Callithrix jacchus: one gene and its partners. The protein of the gene in region 2 interacts with the protein of the main gene of each other region in a biochemical or structural test. Links are inferred from orthologs where the notes say so. Each region holds a gene or a part of one and is shown on either strand. Other genes may lie near its edges. The genes, in order: PTX3, CFH and CRP.

The links.
Region 1: the proteins of CFH (region 2) and PTX3 form a complex in vitro, tested with the Homo sapiens proteins (3 studies listed by IntAct, with this or other methods). The link is inferred for Callithrix jacchus from reciprocal best matches to the Homo sapiens genes CFH and PTX3.
Region 3: the proteins of CFH (region 2) and CRP form a complex in vitro, tested with the Homo sapiens proteins (12 studies listed by BioGRID and IntAct, with this or other methods). The link is inferred for Callithrix jacchus from reciprocal best matches to the Homo sapiens genes CFH and CRP.

The regions. Positions count from the first base shown.
Region 1 is NC_133518.1:28,114,791-28,124,878, forward strand, and holds the start of PTX3 (pentraxin-related protein PTX3), read right to left. Parts: upstream 5,421-10,088; 5' UTR 5,337-5,420; coding exon 5,207-5,336; intron 4,758-5,206; coding exon 4,356-4,757; intron 355-4,355; coding exon 1-354.
Region 2 is NC_133519.1:53,164,881-53,174,994, reverse strand, and holds the start of CFH (complement factor H), read right to left. Parts: upstream 6,257-10,114; 5' UTR 6,182-6,256; coding exon 6,124-6,181; intron 1-6,123. UniProt on the Homo sapiens protein: Glycoprotein that plays an essential role in maintaining a well-balanced immune response by modulating complement activation.
Region 3 is NC_133519.1:19,658,511-19,668,459, reverse strand, and holds CRP (C-reactive protein), read left to right. Parts: upstream 1-3,846; 5' UTR 3,847-3,944; coding exon 3,945-4,011; intron 4,012-4,240; coding exon 4,241-4,851; 3' UTR 4,852-6,068; downstream 6,069-9,949. UniProt on the Homo sapiens protein: Displays several functions associated with host defense: it promotes agglutination, bacterial capsular swelling, phagocytosis and complement fixation through its calcium-dependent binding to phosphorylcholine.

The DNA of each region.
Region 1 (10,088 bases), on a different chromosome or scaffold from region 2:
TCTCAACAGTGGTAGCCACCAGTTCACCATTTACCCACAAGGATGTGAGCCCTTTCTCTGAATTCCAGGTGCCACACAGGTGAGTCCACCTTCCTAATGAAACCATTGCTTCAGCAACCAGCTTGTTCTCCTCTCCACCCACCACAAACACTATGGACTGGTAGCTGAGATACAGCTGGATCTCATATGGATTCCTTTTTGTGCCATAAGAAAACAGTATGGTTTTGTTTAACATGTCTGTGGCTTTGACCCAAATGCAGGCACTAAAAGACTCAAGCCTCAGTGGTCTCACTGGATGCACGCTTCCAAAAATCTTCTTGGAACGCATTGGGAATAAAAGAGCTGTTTCACAACCTAGAGTGGCAAGAAGAGAAGAATATTAAAGAAAATAAAAATTTATTCAAAATGATTCTGGTATTATTTTAACATAAGTATTTTAATAACCATAATTGAAAGCTGTATGCAATCCTACATTATGACTTAAGAGGCTTCAGGTGTAATCTCTGCAGAGCAAAGAAAATGAGAAAAAGGAAAGCCAGTTGTCTTATCCAAGGAAACATCTAAAAGAAGAGAAAGCCTGCAAATAGAAGAGCCAACTAGTCTTAACCCACAAAATAATAAAAGACATGACTACCTCCTTTCCAATTTGCATATTTTCTGTTACTGCCTTAAAAAAAAAAGTTGAATCACTATCAGTTAACTTCAGACAATAATTCTATAATTTCCAATAATTCAGAGCCCAGCCTGGTTCTCTCTTTCTGCCACCACCAAGTTCCTAAAATGATAAACCTATGAAATTCAGTAGACCTAGTTTGCTCCATTTAGCCTTTAACAACATGCATTTTTCAGCAAAATTCTAGAATAGTGACGTTAATGCAGAATATATTTTAATATACCAAATATTTGCAAACTTTGTAGAGTTTTTAGAAAACTACCTTTGAAAGGCAACAATGTATAATAATGATGACTAAATTTACTGGGCATTCATGATATGCCAGATACTGTTCTAATCACTTTGTATGTCATTTTAATCCTCATGCCAATCCCAAGAGATCGTCTTTTTTATTCCTGTTATACAGATGAGAAAACTTAGGCAAAAGTAACTTGTCTATGTTACTTTTATGTTATGTTGTCTATGTTACATAGCTGATAAGCAGTAAAATTAGAGTTTGAATTTTTGCGGTCTGGTTGCAAAGGTCACACCCTTAACCAGCACACAAAATTGCCTCTATATTAATAGAACACCTAGATTTCTCTAGGAGGGCTAAAATTCAGATGGTGTTACTACTAATGAGCTGTGTAACTTTGGATGAGCCTCATAATTTCTCTAGGCTTCACTGTTATCTAAAAAAGGCCCTTCCATTCTGCTCCTAATATTCTGCAAGTCTGTAAGCAGCCAGTGTGTTGCACTTAAGAGCTGAATAGAAGAACGTTTAAAAATTCTTACTTTGTCCACATGCTTATAATTACTATTTAAGTAGTAATAGAAATTCTTTAAGAAGAGTACATTCTTTCAAGGGGCCTGATTGAAGAACATGTTTCTGCTAAAGAGCACTTAGGAGGAGGACTTTCAAATTTGAGGTGGAAAGCTCAGTAAGTTTCTACCACTGTCCATCTCAAGGCCACTTAGCCATTTGGGAAGCTGGAGATGCTGAAACAAAAACTGTTTACGTGTCTCTGGGAAAGAACAAGTGAGCTCTTCATCTATCTATCTAAATATTGAAATAGCTAGCTATCTGTGTGTGTGTGTGTGTGTGTGTGTATACCTATATATATATACATATATGTGTGTATATACACACATATAATTATAGCCCTGAGCCACTTGTAGGAATCTGACATATTTTATATATTATATTATATAAAATTATATATATCTAAAATACAAATACACACATATGTGTATATATGTATATATGTGTGTTTTTGTATATATATGTGTGTGTATGTATGTATGTATTTTTTTAAAAAACACCTAAATTAGGGCTAGATATAACAACCTAAAGAAGATTTGCCATAAGACAGCTTTGAAAAGCCAACTCCCGAAATGGTTCCAGAATAACTGGTAAAGAGACAGAACTTGCAGAAACCAAAGATCCATGTAAAAGTGTGGTAAACTATGTCAGATTCCTACAAGGGATCAGGGCTAGGCTCTGTCCAGAAAACATTAAACAAATATGGACCTTATCCTTTAGTATTAGGGATAGTCAAATAAAATATTGACATTCAGAAAATCATGTAAAAGTAACTACAATACTAAAACACAAAACTGGCCCTGTTACTTTTACTGTTACTGGCCTTTGATACTTTTTCACTAAATAATTTGAACTTTTGAAGATTTTTTAAAATTAATTTTTGATGAGGCACTGATTCATTTTTTAAATGACATTGCTAGGTACATCTTTTTTTCTAGCTATGTTAATTAAAATCAAATAAAAATCACTGAACAGAAAATCACCACATCCTTGGGCATTTGATATAGTCTCTATAAAGTTTCAGTAAAGTAGCATTCAAGAGGGTGCCTACTGCCATCTAATTAAGTGATTTCCTCTTTAAATAAGCCCAGGCAGTCAGGATTGCATTCCAAAGCACTCCTTGATTGCATCTCAGACTCAGCTTCTCTCTAGGCTACACTGGCTACTTAAGTTCATGGATAGATGAACCACATGTTGGCTATTTTGGGTGAGCTTCTTTTTGGGAACCAGTGATAACCCAAAAGTTATATCCATTTCATAAGATAGTTTCTGATAGAATCTTAATACCTTTTCTTTAAAGTAGTAAGAGCCTTCTTTAAAGAAGAGGCTCTTAAAGGCCTTCTTTAAAGAAGACTCTTAATACTTCTTTAAAGTATCAGAAACTCTTATGAAATGGCTGATAACTAATAGGTTTTTCTGATTATCGAAGACCAAACAAAATTAAAGCCAGGTTCTTAGGAGGCTAACAACAGAATGGTTAGGAGCCAAGTTGGCTGGAGACCAAGAAAAGAGAAACCAAAGCATATTGGTAAAAGTATTATCGATGTAATAAGGATTAACATTTTAAATTCAGAAATGCATCCCTCTTCTGCTCTAACTAATGTGCAAAGATGAAGATTAAAAAATAGAGTAATTCTTCAGTTTTTCAGGTGCATTATATGTACAATGACTTTGTTTGCAAAACACATTTCATTCATTAAAATGGCTGCAGAATTCTAATTTCTCTCCTATTACATTGAGAATCTACTGTACTTTTGATTTTATGTTTTTTTCTCCTCTGAAGCAGTATTTGATATTTACTGATAAGCATTCCTCAAATATTTAGAAAATATGGTATAATTTCTCTAACTTTAAGTGAAACATGCCCTCAAACATGCTTCTTCTCTCCCCCCATCCAGCAAAAGTGGTTTTCTTGGAAATATAGGGAAGAATTCTCAGGAAAATTGCGATTATATTTTCTTACCTAGGACACTGATTTTCTAATATAATCCAAATTGATTGTGACACCACCATTTCTTAGAAGTTTTGGCATACAAAGGAGTATTGCTAGGCTCCAAGTCTTCGATTTCTTTCTTTTAACCATCTTTAGAATGTATTATTTTGGGAACTCATGTCTGTTTAGAGATTCATGGATACTTTGAGAAGTTGCCTCTGGTTTGAACAGTCTCTCTCCTGTTTGGCCCAGTTCTCTGAATCCCTGGGGTGGAGCTGGGATCGCCTTCACGGATTGGCTCCCACACTTGACTGTTCCACGCTGAATCTCAAACCGCACACCCTCTGACCTCCCCTGTCGCGCTTATTCCACAAACCCTGGAGGCTGGGGGATCCCTGGAGAATTCCGCTGACCCTTCGGGAGATTAGATTCAGCCTCAAGTTTCTTGCTGAGAATGGGCGGAGAGGAGGGGCCGGCTGAGGGGCTGGAAAACATCCCTAAACGTTAGCCTGGGCCCCGAAATAGTGCGGGAAACCAGAGCTCCTCAAAAGACAGAGGCAAGATAAAATTAGAAGACGTGAAAATCCCTAACGGAGGGAAGCTGGGCGGCGAGATGGGTCACGGTTATAACCGGCCAGTGGACCTCCTGCAGCGTCTGATCAGAACGGGTGTCAGGGCCCTAGAAGGCTATTTCAAGACTGTGATGGTTACCTCCACAATTTTCTTTAGAGTTCCTTAGGACTGAGGAATACTTTTTTAAAGCCTATTTTCCTGCCTTGTATGGTGTGTCTGAGCTCTGTGCCGTGCAAGGAGAAATAGGGGTGTGTGTGTGTGTGTGTGTTTCCCATGAAAGCTTCCCCTAGAAGATTGCCTGGCTTGACTCGCCGTTACGCGCGCTCCCGGAACAAAGCCGCAGGGGGAGGTCCCGGCCCAGCAAGCCTCCTTACCTGCCGGCAGCCAGCTCCGGGCCGCCCAGCCCTGCACCGCGCCCAGCTCCGCTCGTGTCTGCCGCAGCTCCTCCAGCACCGCGGCCAGGGCGCGAACCGCCTCCTCTGGGAGCCGCGCCTCCGCGCCCTCCAGGCGCGCCAGCCTGCGGCCCGCGTCGCGGCTCGCCTGCAGCAGCTCCTCCAGAGCACCGGCCAGCCTGGCCTCCCCTGGGGCTTCTGGCGCGCACGGCCTCGCCAGGCTGCCCGCGAGCTGGCCTAGCTCCGCCCGCAGCCTCGGCAGCTCGCCCCGCAGGACATCGTCCGTGGCTTGCAGCATCATGCCCTCTCTCATCTGCGAGTTCTCCAGCATGATGAAGAGCTTGTCCCATTCCGAGTGCTCCTGACGGCAGTCGCACGGCGTGGCTAGAGCGCGGGATGCACACACGTTACCAGCCCGCCCAGGCCTGCCTAGGATGTGCTTTGTAAAAGCTGACCTCCCTCGGTGGTGCCAAGTTGCAGCCCGTCCCTGGCATCTCCCTTGCCTTTAAGAACACCTCCGAAAAACAGCACGTAAATGTCTCAAGAACAACAGAAATCATTCATTCAGGTGTAGATTAAGTTGTATCCTATGAAATCGCCGGTTATGTAGCTCAAAACAGTCAAATATCGGCGATTTTATATGACTCAACCCATTATGTACGTTACAGAAATAACTTTGAAACCTCCCTCTTTCTTCAAGTGCTTCTCACTTTGGCAAAACAAACTAAATATTTTAACTCGTCTCACTGGCTACAAAGTATATATGTGTATTATTCAGACCAAGACGTGGATATGTAGTCAGGGTTAGCAGAGAAACATTAAAGTGAACTTACGGTCCTCAGTGGGATGGAGTCCATTGTCTATTTCGTTGTCCAAATTCACATACATGAGATCATAATCGTCCGAGTTTTCGGCCAACACCGCAGACCAGAGAGCCCAAAACAGAATCGCAAGGAGATGCATTGCTGGAGAGACGCAAAGTTCGTTCCACGGCTGGTGGGAGGAGACTCTCAAGTGAACTGAGGTTGAGCAGAGGAGAATGAGAGTGAGAGGCTGGAGGAGAGAGCCCTTAATAAATGCTGGGGAAAGCCTGAATGGGGATGAATGAGTAATGCTGGTGGCACTGTGGTAACGGGAGTTCCCCTGGATTTGGTGGGGGAGGGGGCTGGGTGGGAGGGCGAGGGAAATGTGGAAGTTGCACAATAGTAAACCACAAAGGTTTACACTGCAGTCAGATTCAGAGTCAGAGGGGAAAGAGGAGAGAAACTGGGCTTCCACTATTCTCCTGAGAATTAGCTGTTGTAACATGAATTGATAGCAATGAAAATGAAGAAGGGGTAGGGGGAGTAATTTCAGAGGATAGTGAAGGAATTCATCATTTCAGCATTTTCTGTGAGCTGTTCTTATTTCATAAACTTTCCATGTTTCCTTTGTACACTGTTTTACAGGTTAAAAATGAAAATGGTCTGATTCCAAGATAAACCAACATATTGAGAATTGTTATGGCTCTGGAAGTCAAGTCCAATCCAAGCTATCTTGTCTTTAATCCTTCTGTTGTAGTTGCACCTATACTTTTATAGACACACTTTTTAAATGATAAACACCGTACACCTGGGTAAACCTAAATGGGGTGGGGGTGGGGTGGAAGCTGGAAAAAAGGAATATACTTATTTAGCTACTTAGGTATTTTTTTTCATAACTTGGTATTATGCAGACATTATATTACTCTACAAGGTGTAGAGGCAAGGATCCTATTTTAAAAGTAAACATAGAGATTTTTGCTTTTAACAATATATACAGGTCTATGTTCACATGATATTTATTAATAAAAACTTAAAAGATACAGATGGGCTCCCATTAAAGTAAGGGAAATATCCAGGAGCCAAAGAGAGAGAGGAAACCAAAACCAACAATCCCATGAGCTGATGCTAGGGCCCCTCTGGAATAGGAATGAAGACCGTTAGGGGTTATTAGTTCTATAATCACCAAATGTTGATGACCATGTGGAAGCAAAGCTTAGTTCAAAGGCGGAGAATTAGAAGAGACCTTCATGAAAGCCAGGAACCTAGAGGGTTAAATACTGTATTTCAGTAGGTACATTCTACTCTGCCCTAACACAAAAAGGTAGGAAGCAACCATGTCTCTCTTTGAACTCTACAAGGTCCCTCTGAGTTTGTGAATTTGGGCCTGACCTCAAACATGTTTGGAATTCCAATGTATACTGTCCGCCACTGTAAAAAAAAAAATCACAATGATATTATGATATTTGAACATGTGAGGAAGCAAACCACTATAAATGAAAATCAGCAGAGACCAAAAAGAATTAGACACCTCTCCCCAATAATTTTATTTATTTGAAATATCAGCCAAAGGCTAGAAAATAAATATGTTTAAAATTATTTAAGCTCTAAAGGAAGGAATTGAACATACAAGAAAAGAATAAGACATTGTCAAAGAGAAAAAGGCAAGGTGATTTTTTTCAAGAACCGAATATAACTTCTAGAATTAAAAAAAAAAAGGCAATTAAAATTTTTAAAAGCTCAAGGCATGGATTAAGTGGCAAATTAGGCAAAGCTGAAATGAACATTAATGAACTGGAGGACAGATATAAGAAAATAATCCAAAATGTACAATTTTATGTTCAGTAAAAGTATTCTAAAATCCTTTCATTGTTCAGAAGGATGATAAAGAAATTTATTAATTTTGCTTTGTTCAAAAAAATTAGTTACAATTTCCAGGACAACTACCAAAAGGACATAGACATCCAAACTGAAGGAGCAGGGGGAATGTTTAAAGAAAGACTTGATCTATTGAAAAAAAAAAAATTGGGGCCGGGCGCAGTGGCTCACGCCTTTGGGAGGCCGAGGCAGGTGGATCACGAGGTCAGGAGATCAAGACTATCCTGGCTAACACGGTGAAATCCCATCCTACTGAAAATACAAAAAAATTAGCCAGGTGTGGTGGCACACACCTATAGTCCCAGCTCCTCGGGAGGCTGAGGCAGGAGAACCACTTGAATCCAGGAGGTGGAGTTCACAGTGAGCAGAGTTTGTGCCACTGCACTCCAGCCTGGGTGACAAAGCATGACTCTATCTAAAAAAAAAAAAAAAAAAAAAAAAAAAATCAGTGAAGGAGGAAAAAATAGCACAAAGAAGGTAAGTAAAAGGTACAATATTATGTCCTAAAAATAAATCAAAATATACCAATAATTACGATAAATGTTAATGAAACACGTTTTCCAGTTAAGAGACAAATATTTCTATTTGTCATATAGAAATATTTAGGCTAGGCTCACATTCAGAGTCCCAGTACTCTGGAAAGCCAAAGTGGGAGCATATCACTTGAGTCCAGTAGTTTGAGACAAGTCTGATCAACATAGCAAGACTCCTGTCAGTATAAAAAATTTAAAAATTAGCCTGGTGTGGTGGTGTGCACCTGTAATCTCAGCTACTCAGGAGGCTGAGGCAGGAGGATCACTTGAGGCTGGGAGGTTGAGACTGCAGTGAGCTATGATCATGCCACTGCATTCCAGCCTGGGTGACAGAATGAGACTCACTCTCTCTCTCTCTCTCTCTCTCTCTCTCTCTCTCTCTCTCTCTCTCTCTCACACACACACACACACACACACAAACAAGAAAAAGAAGGAAAGAAAGAAAAAAGAAATATTTTAAAATCCGGCTATACAAAACTTATAAAAACAACACATAAAGCCTAAGAAAGTAGAAATATTAAAAGTTAAAACCTTTAAATTGAAGGGGAGGAAGAGAACATACCAAGCAAGTGCTATTCCAAAAAGCTAGCATAGCAATAGTACTATAGGCAAAAAATAGACCTAGGCAAAAGAGGATAGTTCACTATGATACAAAGAAATACTTTAACAGGAAGATATCTTTGAATTATCTAGCAACATAGTTTCAAAAAATATATACCAAAGATTGACAGAATTATAAGGAGAAATGGACAAATTCATAATCATGGAGGGAGATTTTAACATAACTGATAAGTTCACCTATGTCATAACTGATCATTCGAATGCCAAAAAAAGTCTGTCAAAGCATACAGAAACTTCAACTACATAAAGTTTGATATAATAAAATATATAGAGTACTGCCCAGATGGTTTGATGGGCAAGTTCTACCAAACATTCAAGGAACACATAATCCCCATCTTACACAAACTGCTTCTGAGAATGGAGTGTGCAGAAATGTGCTAAATTCGTTTTACATGTCTGCTAAGTATGATACCAAAAAGAGACAAGGACAGTACAAGAAAGAACTACAACCTGTCTCATCAAGAATGTAGATGCAAAAGCTCTAAATAAAGAATTCATCAAACAAACACAGCAATATGAATAAAAATACACATTATGCACAGCAGTGTGCATAAAAATATATTATAACCAAGTTGAGTTTATTCCAAGACTGCAAGATTGATTAAATGTTGGAATAGCTATTAATTTATTACATTAACAGTTTAAAGGAGAAGAATCATCATATCAACAGATGAGAAAATTGTTTGATAAAATTCAACACTCAAAATAAACTAGAAAGCAGACAGGAACTTACTTAAACTGAAAAAAGCATAAATACCAAAACCGATAGAAACAGATACATAGGTCATTGTAAATCCTTGGAAACATGCTTTGTAAAAACAGGAATAACACAAGGATATATATCCATGGACAGTGATTCTATTCATCAAAATGTGTATTGGAAGTCCCTGCCTGTAAAGCAGGACATAAGGAAATAAGGAAAAGGGACATAAGGATTAGGATGGAAAGAAACAAAGTTGTTATTACTTATCGTGAGTGCATCATCTGCATACAGAAAATCCAAGAGACTCAGAAGACATCATTAATAAGAACTGAGCAAATTTTGTCGGATATAAGATCAACATATAAAAATCTATGCTTTCTTAATACCAGTAGATAAATGGAAAATGCCTTTGAATATAAAAATTTTCATTTACATTAGCAAGAATAGCTATGGGATATCCAAGCAACAATTTAACAAAATACACATAAGACACAGATAATTATAACACCTTATGTAAAAGCATAAAAAGATCTACATAAATGGAAAGGTAAATTATCTCCTGAAATTAGAAGACTCAGTTTCACAAAAATGTCAGTTATGCCAAATTAGTCTATATGTTCAACATGAAAAGAAAAAATCCCAGTCTGGTTTTTCAAGGCTGTTGACAGACTGATACTAAAGTTTGTATACAGTAGCCAAGAAGAGTTTGAAGAAGTAGGAGGTGAGGAAAATGTCCTATGAGATACAATGATTTATTATAAAATTATTATAATTAAGAAAATGTAGATTTGATGAAGAGATGGATAAATGCACAGAAACAGACCCACACACATATGGAAAACCTAATATATGAAAGAGGTGTTGCAAATCAGAAGAGTAACAATTGACTACTAAATAAATGATGCTGAAAGAGTTACTTCTATTTAAAGAAAAATATAATTAAAATTCTTCCTCATGTGTACAAAAGTCAATTCCAGATGGATTAAAGACAACTACAAGAAAACAAAACTGTAATGCCTTCAAGAGAAAATGTAGGAGAATATTTTTATGAACCTGGAATACAGAAAATTTTCTAACAAAAAAAAAACCTAAACAATGAAGTAAAAAAATGAAAAAAAGTTGACTATATTAAGGCTATACTTTGCAATCAATAAATAAACAATTCATTCAATAGTTCTGA
Region 2 (10,114 bases):
AGCCTCCGTGACAAAGTGAGCCCCAGTCCCAAAAAATTAAGAATAATACTAAACAAAATCAATTTTTCTTTAGCCCATGAATTAGGAGTGTCAATATGTTTAACTACTGGACAAGAATAGGAAACTTTTTGCTATAATTTGAGGGAAATAGTTATATAGTTTTGGTCAAAGCTAAACATCCATGATACTTAATATTTTAATCATCTTAATTTACCTAATTTTTTTCACTTTCAAATTTTAAGGGGACATTATTGACATGCAAACATCTAACTAATCACTTATTTTCAGTGTCAATATGTCTTTTAACTGTTACTTGCAAAGTGTTTTTATTCAAATAAAATAATTCATTATAAAATTACATATTTGGGAAAACCTTATTCAAATTTGTGCCAGATTGTTTTGGTAGACTAAAGTTGGTCTCTTTGTTCATTTATTCTATTTTCCTAGAATTATTTTGTGGGAAAAAAACAGGAGATTTTCTTTAAATAGCCTGCTTCTAAACTTAGTCGATATCAGAATATATTATAAAGCAAAGTACAAAATCAATTTTAAAAGAAAAAGGAAATGAACAAAATAGAAATAGCAAAATAGATATTTTGCATTAAATTTCCTTCTTCTCACTGATTTATATTAATATTATTTATACAATCATCTTTTGGTATGTGCAGGGTTATGTATTCCAGGACTCTCACATATGCCAACATCTGCACATACTCAAATTCTACAGTTGGCTCTGTGGAAACCACACGTACAAAAAGTCAGTTTTTCCTAAGCATAAGTTTTGCAACCCACCAACACTGTGTTTTTGACCCTGGTTTAGTTGAAAAAAAATTCACATAGTAAGTGGACCCTGAAGTTTAAGCCCATATTGGTCAAGGGTTAATTCTTTATGCATATACATTATATAATCCAATAAGCTTTTCAAAATAAGAAATGTTCAAATTATTTTATAAATAACATGAGAATAACTAAAGATCATTTCAGAAGTTATATATATATATATATATATATATATATATATATATACACACACACACAAAAACACACCTGTGTAAAAAGAGGAAACAAACTCCAGAAAAAGCAAATAGAGATTATGTTACATTTACTAGGCATTTGCGAAAGAAAGAAAAAGAAAAAAAAGAAAAGAAAAAACATTAGCTGGGTGTGGGAGGCTGAGGCAGTAGGATTGCTTCAGCCCAGGTGGAGGAAGGTGCAGGGACCTGTGATCGCACCACTGCACTCCAGCCTCAGGCAACAACACGAGATTCCAGTCTCAATGACAACAACAGCAAATTAACAGTGAAAAGAGAAAAAAAAAACTCCAGGATCATAAAAAGCGTATGGGAGAATAGACGATAGCCATACGAAGTTAGGTGGAATAACAAATATGTCATAATTAGAAATGAAACAAGATACTATCGGAACACAGGTTGAAATTCCACAACTTTCTTGAAATGTGTAGTATTTGAATAGCTAACTCCTAATGCCAGCTATTGTTCCAGTCACACAAAGGGAACCACAGGGAGACAGTAAAATGAGGACCCCAAAAATAGGGGGAAAAAAACAACACATATTGTACCATGTATTACTAAGTAGCACTTGGGGAAGTTGAAGTGATGGAAAAAATGAACGAGCGAAAGAACAGATAAGTAAAAATGAAAATATCTGGAAGCCTTTCCATTATATCTAGATTACGGACAGCCTGTAGAAAAGGCGTGGTAGACAATAGCAACTAGAAAATATAAGAGAAGACAAGGTGATAACTGTCTAATGCACTTAAAGCTCTGTTGCAAGAACCCAGGAAACATTAACATTTGTAATTCCACTGTACATCTGACCTGTGTGTCCTACATGGTTCAGAAGTTTCTGAAAGAAAATTTCTATAATCACTTTTCTATCTACTACATTTCCAGTTAACAAGGTTTGGGAAAAACTTGGCTAAGTTAAAATGCAGAAGAAATAAAAGTGTTCTGTCAGATCTTTTTTTTTCTGTTTTATTGTTTCATTTTTTTGATGTTCAGCTACTTTACTTCCTCTGAGCTATCTTTTTATGTCTCGTTATAATTTTAAGCTAAAATGCAACACTTTTTTTGTCAATTACGTCATCCCCCATCCATGTACCATGTTTTGTGAAGAAATGGGTAAAGTACACATTAGTCAACTGAGCACAGGATAGATTGGGCGGCAGAATCTCAAAGGCCTGGACAGGTGGGAGATGGTATCTGGGGGGAGGAGGAGGAGGCATAACTGGGAAGAATGAAAAGAGGCAAAAGAATAAACAATTGGGGATTAAGCAAACAAAAGTGGGTCAGTGTAGACTGGCTCAGATCTTAGAAACCAAAGACCACACATTTACTAATCTGCTTTTATATTTGGGAACTTACTTCTACCTAAGAATAATTTTAGTTAGCAATACTTAGATATTTCATTTTTAGTTTAAATTATATGTAGGCAAAAGAGTAGCATATGCATTCCCAGGATATGCCTAAATTTAAAATAAGCAAAGCTTGCCTTGGCAGACATCTCATGCTCGTGCCATTTCTGTGGGCATTTTCTTTTTCTCTATCCCTTCTCTTATAGACTCACTATAGCACTTCAATCAGCAGATCTGTCCTACCTGGGAATACCGCATCTTGCAAAATCACTTTGTCCTATTCTTACCCTCATCAGCATCCATTTCTACCCTTTCCTGCCCACTGAACTTGTTTCAGGGAAGTTTTCAGATTATAATAATTTGAAGTAAATTATGAATAATACTAAATTTAACTGTCCTAAAGTAGGTATTCAGTGTATGTGTCATTCTGTGTAAATGACAAATTGGTTAAATTCATGGTAATATTAATATCAATATGTAAAGTATTTTAGGAGGACATGACCTATTGAAGATAACTGGGCCATTGCACAACTTTAAATCAACCATATAGGTACCTACCCGTACTGTGACCTCTAAAAATGTAGGGGCTTGGGGGAAGAAGGGGGAATTCTTATTTACCACACTGAAATTCAAACATAAAATTTAGGATTTTAAAATATTATTCTCCTTTCTCTGATCATAATGGAATCCTTCAGTCTTTGATCTATAATGTCTGTTGGGAACTGAGATGATGTTTTTGCACTCTAAATCTCCAGGATTAGAAACCATGTCTGCCTAACAACACAGCCAGTATTTACTTGAACATGTTTCAGTAGAGTTTTAATTTATTCACTTTAATCATCTTGGAATTTCTGGGCTGTGGCCTAATTTCACATAGGACACAATTGTTAGACCCTAAATTTAAAAAAATCTGCTTGGTCAAAATACAGTGAAAAGCTTGGTAATAATATAGTTCAAAAAAGTGAAATTAGGTGGTACGATTGAGAAACTGCTATTTGAAACTTTGTCCTGTAAATATGACCCAATTCTCAGTAGCTTGCGGTAACTCCCTGAGCTATAGACTGTTACAACAAGGAGGCAATTAATGTTCCTATACAACTGGCAATGTGACCGTACACAATGTACTGCATTATAAAGGTACTATGTAGTCCCCAACATATTTTTTTAGAAAATAGAAAGCTGAAATTATAAATTATTCCTGCTGGCTATAATTTTATTTTTGAGATGGAGTTTCGCCCTTGGTGCCTCGGCTGGAGTGCAATGGCGCCATCTCAGCTGACTGCAACCTCTGTCTCCTGGGTTCAAGTGATTCTCCTGCCTCAGCCTACCGAGTAGCTGGAATTACATGCATTTGCCACCATGCCCAGCTAATTTTGTATTTCTAGTAGAGATGAAGTTTCTCCATGTTGGTCAGGCTGGTCTCGAACTCCTGACCACAGATGATCTGCCCAATTTGGCCTCCCAAAGTGAATATTCACTTTTAACAGGGCAGAAGTAATGCTAAAATATATGCAGTTGAGTAAAGCAGATTGTGATGGTATTCAAACTGTCTTTTCTCAATTTAGTATTCAGTGTTCAATATGGGAAATATAAACTGAAGCAAATATTGAAGTATATGTGAGTATGTTTCATGATCAAGGCTACTCTGTTAAGTCAAAGTTTGTTAGATATGGTAGATTAATAGAATTGATGGACATCTCAAACTAGTTTAGTTTTAAAGAGTACTTGGGAAACAAGGAATAAAACAGGAATATGATATCCACTGAAATTTTATGTACTTTTTCTCAATTGACTTTTGCATTACATGTGCTTTTTTTTTTTTTTTTTGAGACGGAGTTTCGCTCTTGTTACCCAGGCTGGAGTGCAATGACGCGATCTCGGCTCACCGCAACCTCCGCCTCCTGGGTTCAGGCAATTCTCCTGCCTCAGCCTCCTGAGTAGCTGGGATTATAGGCACGCGCCACCGTGCCCAGCTAATTTTTTGTATTTTTAGTAGAGACGGGGTTTCACCATGTTGACCAGGATGGTCTCGATTTCTTGACCTTGTGATCCACCCGCCTCGGCCTCCCAAAGTGCTGGGATAACAGGCTTGAGCCACCGCGCCCGGCCGATTTATTTCATTTTCACTATGAAATAATCTAGTGCTGATGTTCAATTCACCAGTAGAAACTGATATCACATTTAAATACACATTGATGAATAATAAAATTCAAGTGAAACAACCCAGTAATAATCAATTATGCAAATAAGTTTAAACCACTACTGTTTAATTATCACATATAATTTGATGTACTCTATTTTAATATTTCAAATTCAACTTTTTAATAACTTAAACTTTTTATTAAACTCGCCATTGATTCTTGATTTTAAAGATTAGAAATAAAACAAATCTCCTTCATATGACAAATGATATCTATGTAAAATCTGAGCAAACAGTATGTACATATGAAATATTAAAAGCATTCCCTTAAATTTAGTAAGAAAAGACATAAATATTTACACAAAGAAACAGAAAAAGATGTCTGTGATGATTGATGACGTTGACATTGTTCTGGAACTGTTGGCAAATACAAAAATATTTCATTTTAAAATAGTAATTGTAATATTTATATGTACAAGGAAATGATTTCTTCATTTAAAAGTGGCTACATATAAAGTTTACAAGCCAAATAACAGCAATAACATTAGAAAATAGAACTGAATGAAAGTTCAATCTTTCACAAGGTATTAAACATATTTGAATGTTTTTTTGATTAGTGAAGGATAAACTATAAAAACATATCTGCCTTTATTTTCTAGATTGGAAGACTCAAACAACAGAGAGACTTTGTGTACTTGCTAATTTTCTTCAGTTCCTAGAGGCTATGTTTAGTGCCTCAATCAAAATTTTTTGACTACGTGAAAAGTTTTTGGAAATTATGAATAATATGTAATTTATTTAGTTTAAAAATGTTGATCAAATATCTTTCACATAACCGGTTACTTATCACAGACTAGGAAAGCAAACCTCCAAGAATAAGCTTTTTAATCTGTCAAGAAGCAATTATACATTTAAATTTTATTATGAATCCAGAAATTGTCTTGCTGATGTCAGAAAAAAACTCCTACACTTATATTCACTATACTAAAAGACTGCTCTTCAAGAATATCTTATTTACAACGACAGGAAAAAAATCCCTATTGAACAACTTAACTGTTACAAATATTGTATATTCAATTGTGTTTTAAATGTACATAATATTTTATTCTGATAATACAAGTAATGCTTGTTTATCAGACTTCTAAAGTTATGGCAAGCACAGTTGTAAATGATAAATGAATTTTTCTTTAGAAAGAGTAAAAATCATATCTGAAATAAATCTAATCATTGTGATTTGATGGCTTTTATTGACTATTCACATCCTTCACATCATGATTCATTTTGGTTATACTTCTAAGCAAAAAAATAAGTTGTATTTCATGATAACTACAAGGGACATGATTATTACACATTATAGATTTTCAGAAACAATTGTTTAAATATTTTCTAAATTTTTATATTAAATAAAATGAAGATAAATATTCAGATATACCATTCAAATAGGTACTTACATTTTTTAAACTGAACAATGTCAAAAGCCACTCAATTGTTAAGCTACACAATACTTAAGCACATTCTAAATCAAATTTTATTACTACTGTGAAAAGCATCATTAGCAAATGTTTCATAATACAGTTTTAGAAAAACAGTTCTCCTCTTTTAATCTTACCTTCTGCTACACAAACAGCCCATAATATAAGGCAAATAATCTTTGCTGGAAGTCTCATTTTTTTGGTCTTTTACGAGAACATTTACCAGCTCACTCTGTTTACAACGTCCAGTTCTCCTCTTCCAAGAATTGTGATTAGTGCAGGAAAGAACTTGCTGCAAAAGGAAGTTGAAACTAGATGCTCAGCCTATCAGAAACTTTTGCAAAGTAAACAAAAAAATCATCCACAAGCCCAGCAATCCCAAAGGCTGAACCTGATTCTCAGTGCACTCCCACTGAATGTTAATGCTGTGACCTGCTCTTGGACTGTTTCTTATTAAGCTTGGAAAATGTTCATGTTCTTAGTGTGTGCAAAGCAACAGTTGGTGACACCCTCTGGATTTCATAAACCCTTCAATTATTCAGGCCTATTATGTATAAATCTCAGAACAGGAAATAAGAGACACTTTAAAAGAAATCACTTAGAAAACTTTAGTTTAGGCAATGTTTTCACAATCAGCACCCAGGCAATGTGTACAAACTTTGCCCAAGAATGAAGTGCTAGATGATGTGGAGCTCCTGCTTTTCTAACAATTCATGAAATTTGTTTTCTAAATGATTTTTATATATGTGTATGAAGCAACTGGCTCACTCTCATTTGACATAAATAGGTTTCACAATCCATAAATCAACAAATTGGAATGCTGATTTTTAAAAATGTGTATTACAGTATAATGTGTATAAGGAAAACATAAATAAATCACATACTGAATATTGAGAAGGTAAGATACCTATGAAACCCTTACCAAAGTCAAAACACTGAACATTATTATTTTCCGGAAAACCCCAATACTACCTTTTGGTCAATACTCCTCTCAAGCCTCTCCCACACCCCCTGACACACAGAATCACACACCATGATTCTGATCTGCAAGAACATGGAATATATTTGTCTGGTTTTTGTATTTTGTACAATGAAAAGGAAGCAATTTACTCTTATGTGTAGAACTTTTCACTAAAAATTATGTTTGGACCATGCAAACAGATTGTTAGATGAAGTTATAAATGGTTAATTCTTACTGTGATGAAACATTCCATTTTTTGAATATTTCACATTTTGTTTGTCTGTGTGCCTGTTAGTGAGTATTTGAGCAGATTTTAGTTTGGAGCTGATTATGAATGGTGCTGCTATGAGCATGATGTTACGTGGTTTTTGGTAAACACAATCCACATTTCTGGTAAGTGCATACTTGGGAGTGAAACATTAGGACGTAACGTACATTTAGGTGTAATGGATAAAATTAGACAATTCTCCAAAAGGATTATAACACTTGACATTTCTATGAGCAGTGTCCAAGTTTCTCCATACCCTCAGAGATACTTGATAATTTTAATCTTCCTAATTTTAGCCTTTCTGGTAACACAAAGCAATAATTCTCTGTGGTTATAATATGAATTTTTTTGATGACTAATTGAAATATGAGAGAGCCCAGATTTCCCTTGCAGGACATGTGGCAGGGGTGCAACTCAAACCCCTCACTGGAGGGGGGCACACAGATGGGCAGGTACCAGAACTGGGGTGAGTGCTTTCCGGCTCTGGTGTCACGGTAGCATCAAGGCGTGGGTATCTGCAATTCCCGAAGCCCAGGGGGGCTTTGTCATCTACAGACGGTTTGTGTGTTAATCAGCTCAATGGACCCTCTTCCTTATCTCATGGTTGGGGGACAGTATAACAGCCTTCTGTATGTCAAGCTCTTGCCCAGTGTCCCAAAAGAATCAGATCACTTGGGGGCTCAAGGAAGGAGGGCAAGGTTGTATTGAGTGGTGGAGGTGGCTGTCAGCGAGATGGAGTGGGAAGGTGGCCTTTGGCCAGAGTCAGGCCTCCCAGTGGCTGGACTCTTCTCTAACTGTCCCAGGCCGAACTCCCCTCATAGACCAGATGTCCCTCCTCTCTTTCTCTGCTGCATCATTCTGCCTTTGCTGGTCTGCTGGTCTGCTTGCCTCCTCATCTCCTCATTTGCAGGTCTGTTCTGGAGCTTGGAGTTTTGGGTTTATATGGGGGCAGAACAGGAGGGCATGGTGGGCCAAAAGGCAACTTTATGGGTGTGAAAACTGAAATGCCTGTCATTTAGGGCCACAGGTCTTCAGGCTTGAGTGTGGGGCCTCTGCTGGTGGACCATTTCCCTGTCTCCTGTCCATATCATCTTGAAATTGAGAAACTTTCCTGTGGTAATTGGTAATTTAGATATCCTCTTTGGTGAAGGTTCTATTCAAATCTTTTGCATCTTTTTTTCCTTATTGTCTGTCTTTGACTTATTGCATTACAGTAATTGTTTATAAATATTTATATATTCTAGATATGAAAATATTCTTATAATATGTATTATAAATACCTTCTTCCAGCCTGTGGGTTTTCTTTCCATTCAGTATTACATGTCCTTTATAAATAAAATTCCTTAATTTTAGAGTAGAGCAAATTTTCAAATTTTTTTCTATGATTAGTGCATTATGTGTCTTATTTAATGAAACCTTGCCTAATCCTAGAACACAATGCTTTTCTTCTAAAAAAATTAATTTATCTTTCACATTTAAGACCTTTAGAACAACTATAATTGTCTTTTGTGTATAGTTTAATAAAAAGCTCCAAGTGCATTTTAAAAATAGAGTTATCCAATTGTTATAGCATTATTTAATGAGAGTATCATTCTTTCCTCTGTATTGACATGCTTTCACCTTTGTCATGAATCAGGTACTGGATATGTGTAAGTTTATATCACCAAGCTGTTCTTAATGTAATAGTCTGTTTATTTTTAAAACTTTTCTAAATGGCAAATTTCTGGGAAATTTGGCTTTCTAATTATCTTTTAAATTGATATCTTGTTTAATTTCACTGTGGTCAGAAGACATATTCTAAATAATTATACTGTTTGATGAGTATTTCTTTATTCAAAATTCTGTGTCAGCAGATCAAGTTTGTAATTCCTTTGTTAAAATATTTTATATTTTTACCATGTTTTTATCTGCTTTTTCTATCAGCTATGGAAAGGGTGTATTACATCTCCCATTATAAACGTGGTTTTTTGTATTTCTCTGTTTAATGTTGGCAATGTTTATATATTTTAGGGCTTGATTATGCTTGCATACGTATTTAGAATTGTGATGTCCTCCTCTTGCATTGGTCATTTTCTCACATTAAATGGCTCACATTAACTCTTATTTTGCTTCCAGTGGAAATTTTACATTTTATTTTATCTTATTTTCACTCATTTATTAAAAAGATAAGGGTTGAAGAGTTAGACTTAGTCTTTTGTTCTGAGAAAATAAGAAATAAAATAGCACATGTATGTTAACAATCAAACAAATACGAATTCTGAACTATCGTTCTGAAGTTTAATTTGATGTAACTGGTAACACATATGTTGACATAATAGATCATTTAAACTTCTTTATTCCTTCCTTAGTTTTATCTATTTGAGTATGAATTCAAATATCTTACCTGGGCTTAACTTTCCAATAGCCGTTTCTATTCTAATAGCAATATTATCACTTGGAGAGTGTTTCAGAAACTTTTCAAGATTAATATTATTGAGTGTTCATTATATACCAGACACAGATCTAAGCACATTTATTCAATACTTAAAGCAACACAGTGAAATAGGAGACTATTACTCTTTCAAATGTACAGGTGACTGAACTGAGCCACATCTAAGCAACTCCCTTAAGGTCACAAGACATTGCTAGTGCCAATGGGCTAATTCCCAGAATTTTACTTTGAACATACACAAGTCTGCTTCTCAAATGGTTTGCTTCCTATGCTATTAAATTAACGTAAGTTTAACTGTCAGTAACTCTTTTATGTATTTAAAAATATGGTAAAATATTTTCATGTGTATTCTAGGGTATGCTTCATGTTTATTTATTTCACAATTATACACATACTATAAAGGTATTGAATGTACACACACACACATACACATATTTATATGTTTGTGGATAATTTAAAGTACATGCA
Region 3 (9,949 bases), about 34 Mb from region 2:
TTTCAAGACCAATCATGCCTTCCCAACAGTCACCCAAACTGAACTTACTTCAGCATTAACTCAAAAGTCCAAGTGTAAAGTCTCATCTGAGACAAGGCAAGTTCCTTCTGCCTGTTAGTCTAGTAAAATAAAAAACAAGTTAATTACTTCCAAGATATGATGGGGGCACAGCCATTGGTTAAATGTTCCTGTTTCAAATGAGAGAAAGTGGCTAAAACAAAGGGGCCACAGGCTCCATGTAAGTCCGAAATCTAGCAGGTCACTCATTAAATCTTAAAGCTCCAAAATAATCTCCTTTGATTCCATGTCTGACATCCACATTCATGTAAGTGGTAGGCCCCCATAGCCTTGGGAAGCTCCACCCCTGTGGCTCTACTAAGTACAGCCCCTGTGGCTGATTTCACAGGCTGGTGTTGAATGCCTGCAGCTTTTCTAAGCACAAGTACAAGCTGTCAGTGGATCTACCATTCTGGGGTCTGGCAGACAATAGCCCTCTTCTCATAGCTCCACTAGACAGTGCCCCAGTGGGGACTCTGTGTGGGGGCTCCAACCCTGTATTTCCCTGTTGCATTGCTCTAGTAGAGGTTTTCCATGAGGGCTCCATGCCTGCAGAAGACTTCTGTCTGAACATCCAGGTGTTTCCATACATCTTCTGAAATCTAGGCAGAAGCTCCCAAGGCTCAATTCTTGTCTTCTCTGCACCTGCAGTCTCAACACCACTTGGAAGCCACCAAGACTTTGGGCTTGCACCCTCTGAAGCAATGGCCTGAGCCCACTTTTAGCCATGGCTGGAGCTGGAGCCGCTGGGATGCAGGGTGCCATGTCCCTAGGCTGCAGAGAGCAGTGAGGCCCTGGGCCTGGACCATGATACCATATTTTCCTCCTAGGCCTTTGGGTCTGTGATGGGAGGGGCTGCCATGAAGATCTCTGAAGTGACCTGAAGACATTTTCCCCATTGTTTTGCAGCTCCTCATTACTTATGCAAATTTCTGCAGCCAGCTTGAATTTTCCTCTAGAAAATAGGTTTTTCTTTTCTACTGCATGATCAGGCTGCACATTTCCCAAACTTTTATGCTCTGTTTCTCATTTAATTATAAGTTCTAATTTCAGATAATCTGTTTGTGAACACATATGATTGTATGTTGTCAGAAAAAGCCAGGTCACCTCTTAAATGCTTTGCTGCTTAGAAATTTCTCCTGCCAGATACCATAAATCATGTCTCTTAAGTTCAAAGTTCCACAGATCTCTAGGCCATGGGCAAAATGCCACCAGTCTCTTTGCTAAAGTATAGCAAGAGTGACCTTTACTCCACTTCCCAGTAATTGCCTCATTTCCATCTGAGGACAACTCAGCCTGGACTTCATTGTCCATATCACTATCAGCATTTTGGTCAAAACCATTCAACAAAACTCAGGAAGTTCCAACCTTTTACACATCTTCCTGTCTTCTTCTGAGCCTTCCAAACTGTTCCAGCCTCTGTGCATTACCAGGTCCAATGTTGCTTCCACACTTTTAGGAATCATTATAGCAATATGTCACTATCCTGGTACCAATTTTTTGTATTAGTCTGTTTTTACACTTCTATAAAGAACTACCTGAGACTGGGGAATGTATAAACAAAAGAGTTAATTGACTAAGTTCTGCATGGCCTGGGAGGCCTCAGGAAACTTACAATTATGGCAGAAGGCAAAGGGGAAGCAGGCACCTTCTTCACAAGGTGGCAGGAGAGAGAGAGAGTGGGGAGGAACTGCCAAACACTTTTAAACCATCAGATATTGTGAGAACTCACACACTAATGTGAAAACAGCATGGGGGAAACCACCCCTATGATCTAATCACCTCCCCCCAGGTCCCTCCCTTGACATGTGGGGATTGCAATTCAAGATGACATTTGGGTGGGGACATGGAGCCAAACCATATCAGATGGGGAGTGGTGGGACAGAGGACCACTTCTTTTAGGCATAAAGCCTTGAAATTATTTCACTTTTACACTATGAACAAGAATTCAGCAGGAAGTTATAAACTGTTGAACGTTTCTGAGAAGCTGAGTAAAGTAAGAACAGAAAATGCATTATTAAATTTACTGAGAGATGTGTTTATGTTGCCTTCACTAGAGTGGTGAAAGCCAAGGCCTGATTTCCATGGATTGAGGAGGGAACAGAAGATGGGATAATTGAGGTTGGAAGCACACATAAGCTTTTCCTCCCTTCTCTCATTCCCATTCTTCCTTTTTTCTCTTTTCTTTCTTCTTTCTCTAAAAGATTAAATATATTATAGCATGGTTTTGTAAAAATGATCAAGTAAAGATGAATGCATTAATAATGCAGAAAATAGAGAGGATACCTGTAAGGAGCAAAATTCCTTGAATGGTTGACTGGGTCTGGGATCCACTGAAGAAGTGCAGGGGTTGACCTTAGACATAATGCAGGGAGAGCTCATCCCTTTTAATAGAGGAAGATGGAAAGACTGGTACATTGGGTTGTAGGAGGATGTATAAGGATATCAGTTTGGTGTTAAGAACAGAAAGACTGAGTTAAAAGCGATTTTACAAAAGAGGAGAATATTTCTCCTTTAAGTAAATGTTCAGGTAGGCAGTCTAGAGCTGATATAGTGGCTCCATACTCAATTATCCAGTCTCTATGTATCTTGTTGCCATGCCAACCTCAACATGCAGCTTACACTTGCTGACCTGAAAGTGAACTGTTCCATCTCCTGCTATCATGACTGAATACTAGCCAAAGGAAAAAAGGGGGAGGTGGGAGCGGAAAGCATATACCTTTCTTAAGGAGCACAACCTAGAGATTGTCCCTATTCTGTTCCTATCTCATTGGCCATAATTTAATCATATCACTGCAAGCTACAGTGGGGGCTGGGAAATTTGGTGTTTGAGGGGACGACTAAGCGCCCAAGTAAAAATGTTATTCTTATGAAAAGTAGAGAATGGATGTGGGGGAGTGACTAGAAGCCTCTGCTACAAAAGATATGGTGCTTCTTTTCTGATGGCTTTTAATTTCTCAACAAAAGGTGAGTTCATCAGCTGAGTGAAAGAATGAATGAGACTTGAGGAGCAAGGAGAAGCGGCGTAATCGTCATTTGGAAGAGTGAGTTAAGTAGGGAACTGTAGTAAGACTGTCAGACAGTGTGAAGGGATTACTTGAATCTTGTGAACAGAGGAAGTAGTAGAATCAGTTTATCCAGACTCCTGCTGGAAGCTTTACATATTCAGAGAAAGATGTTATAGGAAGAAACTCTGACATAATGCTCTGCCTGTGATCAGGCAAACGTTTCACTGGACTTTTACTGCCAGGACCACCATTTAGTGCCAAAATGTCTAGAGAGCTCTAGATAAGTATATTCAATTGGCTGAGAAAATGTGTCCAGGGCTTAGGGAAGGGCATGTTTGTTCTTCTCATTTCCCAATCTGTAAACAAGCGGATTACGAAAGGGGTTAGTGATCAGGGCCATCTCCAGAAGCTGTCAGCTTTCCTTTGTGAAACTCTGTGATTTGGGCTGAAGTAGGTGTTGGAGAGGCAGCTACCACGTGCACCCAGATGGCCACTCATTTAATATGTTAACATTTCTCATTATTTTCTCAGGATGGATAGCCAAACTGAAACCCTGGGAGGTTTCTTCATTTTTCCTGTCACAAAGAATTGGTAATTCAGTAGTCATCAGAGTTTCTAATAAATAACCCATATTGATTTATCTGTTCCGGAATGATTTTGCTTCCCTCCATCCTGGAGCCCTGACACTTGACCCAAGAGGCAACGTTGGAAAATCATTTACAAAGTGGCATAAAATCCCTTACTGCTTTGGATATAAGTCCAGGCAGGAGGGGGTAGCTCTGAGGCAAGAGATCTAGGACTTCTAGCCCCTGAACTTCCAGCCAAATACAACTTTTGCAAAGGAGTGAATTCAGATCCCTGTAGCACTGGCAGCGGGGCATGAGCATGGAGAAGCTGTTGTACTTCCTGGTCTTGACCAGCTTCTCTCATGCTTTTGGCCAGACAGGTATGGGCCACCCCAGGCTTTGGGAGAGATTTGATCTGAGGTATGGGGTTGGGTGAACAGAACAGTGGAAGATTCATCACGACGTGTGTGTGTATGTGTGTGTGTGGTGTGAGTGTGTGTGTGTAAATGGGGAAGGGGTCAGTTTCTCAATCTTAAACTCTATCAGTGAGGGGATAGATCTTTGTGATCTGAGAAACTTCTCATTTGTACTTGTTTTTCTGTCTCACAGACATGTCCACGAAGGCTTTTGTGTTTCCCAAAGAGTCGGATAATTCCTATGTATCCCTCAAAGCACAGTCAACGAAGCCTCTCAAAGCCTTCACTGTGTGCCTGCACGTCTACACGGAACTGTCCTTGACCCGTGGGCACAGCATTTTCTCTTATGCCACCAAGAAACAATCTAATGAGATTCTCATATTTTGGTCTAAGGGTAGAGGATACACTCTTACAGTGGGTGGGCCTGAAGTGTTATTCGAGACTTCCGAAGTCACAGCTCCAGTACACATTTGTACAAGCTGGGAGTCTGCCTCAGGGATCGTGGAGTTCTGGTTGGATGGGAAGCCCAGGGTGAGGAAGAGTCTGCAGAAGGGATACACTGTGGGGACAGAGGCAAGCATCATCCTGGGGCAGGAGCAGGATTCCTTCGGTGGGGGCTTTGAGACAAATCAGTCCTTGGTGGGAGACATTGGAAATGTGAACATGTGGGACTTTGTGCTGTCACCAGATCAGATTAACACTGTCTATGCTGGTGGGACCTTCAGTCCTAATGTCCTGGACTGGCGGGCACTGAAGTATGAAGTGCACGGTGAAGTGTACACCAAGCCCCAGCTGTGGCCCTGAGGCCGGGCTGTGGGTCCCGGAGGTGGTTCCCAGTTTTTTTACATCACATGGGCCCCACATCTCTGTCTCTGGGCCTTTGTTCCCATATACGCATTGCAGGACTGCTCCGTTTTCCTCAGCACCTGAGAACACAGGCAAAGTGTCTGGCCTGGGACCTTGTGAACTACGCTGGGAAGCTTTGTCCAGGAGAATCAGAATTTCAGGTGTTTTGTTTTTCATTTTTATTTCTTCTTAAGTTGGACAGATCTTGGAGTTAATTTCTTACCGTCACATAGATGAGAAAACTGAAACCCAGAAAGGAGAAATGATTTTTTGTTTTTAAAGTCAGAAGGCAAGGACATCTCTGAGCTGAGAAGGAACTACTGGTCTTCTATTTAATTTCCTGCCCAGGACTTCCAGAAAGCAGGAGGGCATTGTCCACATTCACAGGACTCTTCATTCTCAGAACCAGGACATTGGCCAGGTATCTGGATTGGGTCCAGAGTGCTCAGCATCACGCTATGGAACTGCTGGGTCCAGGTCTCGTGGAATGGGAAGCCCAGCAACACTGCACAGCTCCTCCACGTTCTCAAAGCACACGGGAGAAGCCATTAGAATTGCCCTAGCAGAGGAGGTCTGCCTTTTTCCAGAGCAAGATGAGGCACAAGGTATAATATGTTGTTACTGCCAAGAATGTGCATAAAAATGGTTTTTGCTTGTTTGCAGTGCTTTCTTAATTTTATGGTTCTTCTGGGAACCCCCTCTGCCCCTTTCCACACAAACCTTGTGGGGCTTTGAATTCCTTCTTCATGCCCGCATTCTCAATATACTCAGGATGCAAGAGTAGACGTGAGACACAGGGCATCCTGTCAGAGTAGCCCATCTCCTATCTCCCCAGCTCCCTATCTGGAGGTTGTTCTTGGATATTAAATGTTCCTAGCAGGACCAATTATAGTCTTCCCAAGGATTGAGTTGTAGACTTTGGGAGTGAGAAATCTTCTTGCTGCTGGATTTCCAAGCTGAGAGGACGTGAGCCTGGGACCACCAGTAGCTATCTTGTTTGCCACATGGAGAGAGGTTGTGGAGACAGAAGCCAAACTGGGAATGGGGGAGCCCAGGGATTGATATGCGATGGAGCCTTGGCCACGTAGAGCCTCTAAATCAGCCTGTCCAGAACCACATCTATACCTGGACTGCCTAGATCCATAAGCCAATAAAGCTCCTGCTTACTTGAGTGAGTCCAGACTGTTTTCTGATGGTTGCTTTAGAGGCTGTGACTAAATTCTCTGAAGACCTTTGAAACCAAGTCTGTATAAGTTTACACTGCCCATTACAGAACAGGTCCATGGCACTCTAACCTGTCTGAGACCCTGCAGGGATGGCCTCTGACAAGCACATTCCCTCTTTTGAGACAGCTGGCCATTCATGTGATGCCAGTTGTAGGGGTTTTAATACTCTCATTGTGTCATTATTCCAGTTTGAGGAACAAAAGCTAAAGATCATTGTGATCCATGAATCTGCTGCCAGGTTCAGTGACTGGAATGCACTTGCCTTGGTTCGTTCAGGTTCTCTGTAGAAACAGAGCCCTCAAAGGTGTCGGCTGCTGCTTCCTCCAGAAGCGTCCTTTAACATGGCCTTTCAGCACTAAGTGATCAGTAGAAGTTACTCCATAGAAACCACAGCCAGGAATGAATTATGGGGCTTCCCGCGTATTAAATGGTCATCTAGAGGAGGCATATGGCAAGCTAGTTAAGCACAGAGGTTCTGGAATCAGACTGCCTCGGCCATATTCTGGCTTTACAACTTACTAGCCATATGACCCTGGGTAATATGATCTCTTTATGTCTCAGTTTTTTTACCTACAAAACAGGAGAAATGGTAATTAGCTCAAAGGGTTGCTATAAGAATCAAAGAAAATCATGCAAGCAAAGCACTTAGTACAGTGCTTGGCACAAGGCAAACTATTTTAGCAGTTTTCTGCTATTGTTGTTATTAAGCTATTTTGTATTATATCCGTAAACATAGGCTTGTTATAGGCCATAAAAATACAACTTGGTAGAATTTGTCTCGGTTGGCAGTAGTTGAAGTTTCTCGTTGACTAAGAATTAAGTTTAGAATGTTAGAAAGATGAAGAACAAATCTTTGAAACCATTATTTGTGAATGTTGACTTCACTAATTGAGTTTTGATGACCCTTTGTAAGCGTAGAAGTTAAGGATACATTCTCAGACAAAAATGAGAGTACAAACATTGTCTGTTGTCCAATTCGGGCAGATCCATCCATCCTCACAGTCAGCTAAGCAGAAGAGAGGACTGCCACTCTTTTCTAGTTAAAGAATCCAGATATGTCTTAATTATAGAAGGCCATCCCAACTCCCCAGGGGTGTGGGTTGAGGTAATATTTTCTTCAGAATTCAATTACTTGTATCTTATTATATGTAGTCTTGCGGACAGTCTCTGGCCTTAATAATTTCAGCCAGGAAGATTTTAACAACTGGTATTTGCATTCAGAGAACATTAAAAAATATTAACAAAGCATTTGTAGGATGTTCAAATTTAAGCAATTGAGCCTACTGGTGGATACTTCATTATAATCTTGTTGGAAAATGTATTTCCAGGTAACTGGTGAATTGTCATACCATATAGAGCTATCAGATATAATCCAATTAGATGTTAGATGACATCTGCCAAAAGAGATGACTCTGATGTGGGCATGCTGGTTCTAAGCGGTGCTTTTTTGTGTGTGTGAAATGGAGAGTAAGATCAAGCATCCACCATGGCCATTTCTAGCTGATACTAATAAAGCCGTGTCATCAGCACTGGTTTTCTGTTAGAGTAGGAACTATGCATCCAGTTTTTCCAGAAATAGAATCAGGCCTCAAGGAATGAGTTAAAGAGACATAAGACCAAATGGTCTATAAAACCCATAATGGAAATGAGGTGAAAGAGGGGTGGTGGCCCAGTGCCTGAAGAGATACTGTAGTGCATTTATAGGCCAAATAAGAGCAAGTAGACCAACAGTATGAATCAGAGATAATGGAGGCTGCTACTTGATAGAACACTTTCTTTTTGGAACTGAAAATAGCCATGTTGCTGTAAGCATTAGGGCCAGGCCTGATCCTAATGTAAGCCCCTTAGTGTGGAATGCAACATAGAAACCTAATATCTCCCTGTGTCAGAAATAAATATTAGCTCATTGGCCAGGCAACAGGCCTTGCACACTCTCCAAAAAGAGGTGGTCATGGAGAGAGCATGGTTAAGAATGGGCTGCATGTAAGGCCAGGTGAGTGGAGGAGAAGCCAACCCTGTGGTGAGAACTGGTCTATCCAGGCCCTAGAGGAGGTACTACAGGCTGCCTCAAAAGTGAGGCTGGGATTTGATGGAAATGGATTTGGAGTCTCAGCCGACAAAATAAGTAACACGTTAAATCTGCTATATTCTCCCTGTGCTTTCACTATTCTCAAGTTTGATGTGCCCCAGGGAAGCAAAGATTGACAAAGAAAGCAAATGACTCTAGATCATTAAACACCACCACCATCACGACCTAGACAAAATTTCCAAAGTTTAGATTTCTGATCACTAGAATCCCAGGGAAAAGAGAAGCACGGCTTTGATTTCTAGGTAGTTTTATCCTGGGACAACTGCCTGGTAGTCTCAGATGGGTTGTCATAAGTTGCCTGGATTCCTTATTTTCAGCTCCCTGTCTCTATTTTATCTATGCATCTTTTCATTTCTTCTGTACTGGAATGCAGGTTAAGTAGGCTTGTTAGCCTTTTCCTTCACAGAATGGAAACTCCTAGCTCAAATTTCCTGGATCTCCTGGACCAGTGATAACTTATAGTCTACTGATTGCAGGCATCCTTGTCATCTGGGTGTTTGAGTATGGATTCATTGACCCCAGCCCTCCTGGAGTAGACTCTCTGGGGTTAGCGCTCAGGAATGTGCAGGATCACAAGCCCTGTTATGCTATGTGCTTGTAGAGCCAGAATTTTAGTGTTTTCCTGACAGCTCAGATGTCTTATCTCGGGGACATCCCTGCCTCCCACTAAGCTTGTGGGCAGGTGGTCACCTTTAAGGAAGCATCTAGTGCATCTGTACTCAGGTCATCCCCTTGGCCTTCCTCTGGTACATTCTTTCAGGACTCATTCAGAGTGGACCCCTCTGTCCTTTATACACAGTTAATAGATCTCACAAAGTTTCATTACTGCCCCCAGGATGATAATTGCTTAATCACACAGGGAAGATCACACACAGTCTTCAAACAAACAAAAACATCTTACACTTACTGAGCTCTTACCATGTGCCAGGTACTGTTCTAAGTCTTTTAAATATATTTACTTGCTTAATGACAATTCTATGAGGTATGTAATATTTTATAGTCCTCATTTTACAGATGAGAAAACAGGTTTAGAGAGGTTAATTAACTTGTTTAGAGGTAGAATTTGAACTTTGGGAGTCTGGCTACTCAGCTCTATTTTTTTTTTTTTTTTTTTTTTTGAGATGGAGTCTTACTCTGTCACCCAGGCTGGAGTACAGTGGAGCGATCTCAGCTCACTGCAACTTGCACCTCCTGGATTCAAGTGATTCTCCTGCCTTAACCTCCCGAGTAGCTGGGATTACAGGTGCTTGCCAATGCGCCCAGTTAATTTTGTATTTTTTTTAGTAGAGATGGGCTTTCACCATCTTGGCCAGGCTGGTCTTAAACTCCTGACCTTGTGATCCACCCACCTCAGCTTCCCAAAGTGCTGGAATTACAGCTCTGAGCCAGCTCTATGCTTCTAACCACTGTATTCTACTGCCACATGTAACAGAAACTTACACCCTGCATTTATACCCATGGTGCAAGTGGGAGGGTGTAGGGATGTGTGTTTTTTTCTTATGGGAAAGCCCTTCCAGGATGCCATATATTCAGTGTTAGCTACCATTGTGGGTCCGCTGGCAATCACCCTACTTTTTAATTTTGTCCTATGTGCTTAGGAGAATGGCTTGCACATAGAAATCCTATTCAGCCTTAGCATGAATACAATTGTCAAAGTTCTCCTCTGACCTCCATCTCTTCTACAGTCACACATGCCCCTAGATGCAACTTCACATCCCACTGGCCTTCACCAAAGGCATAG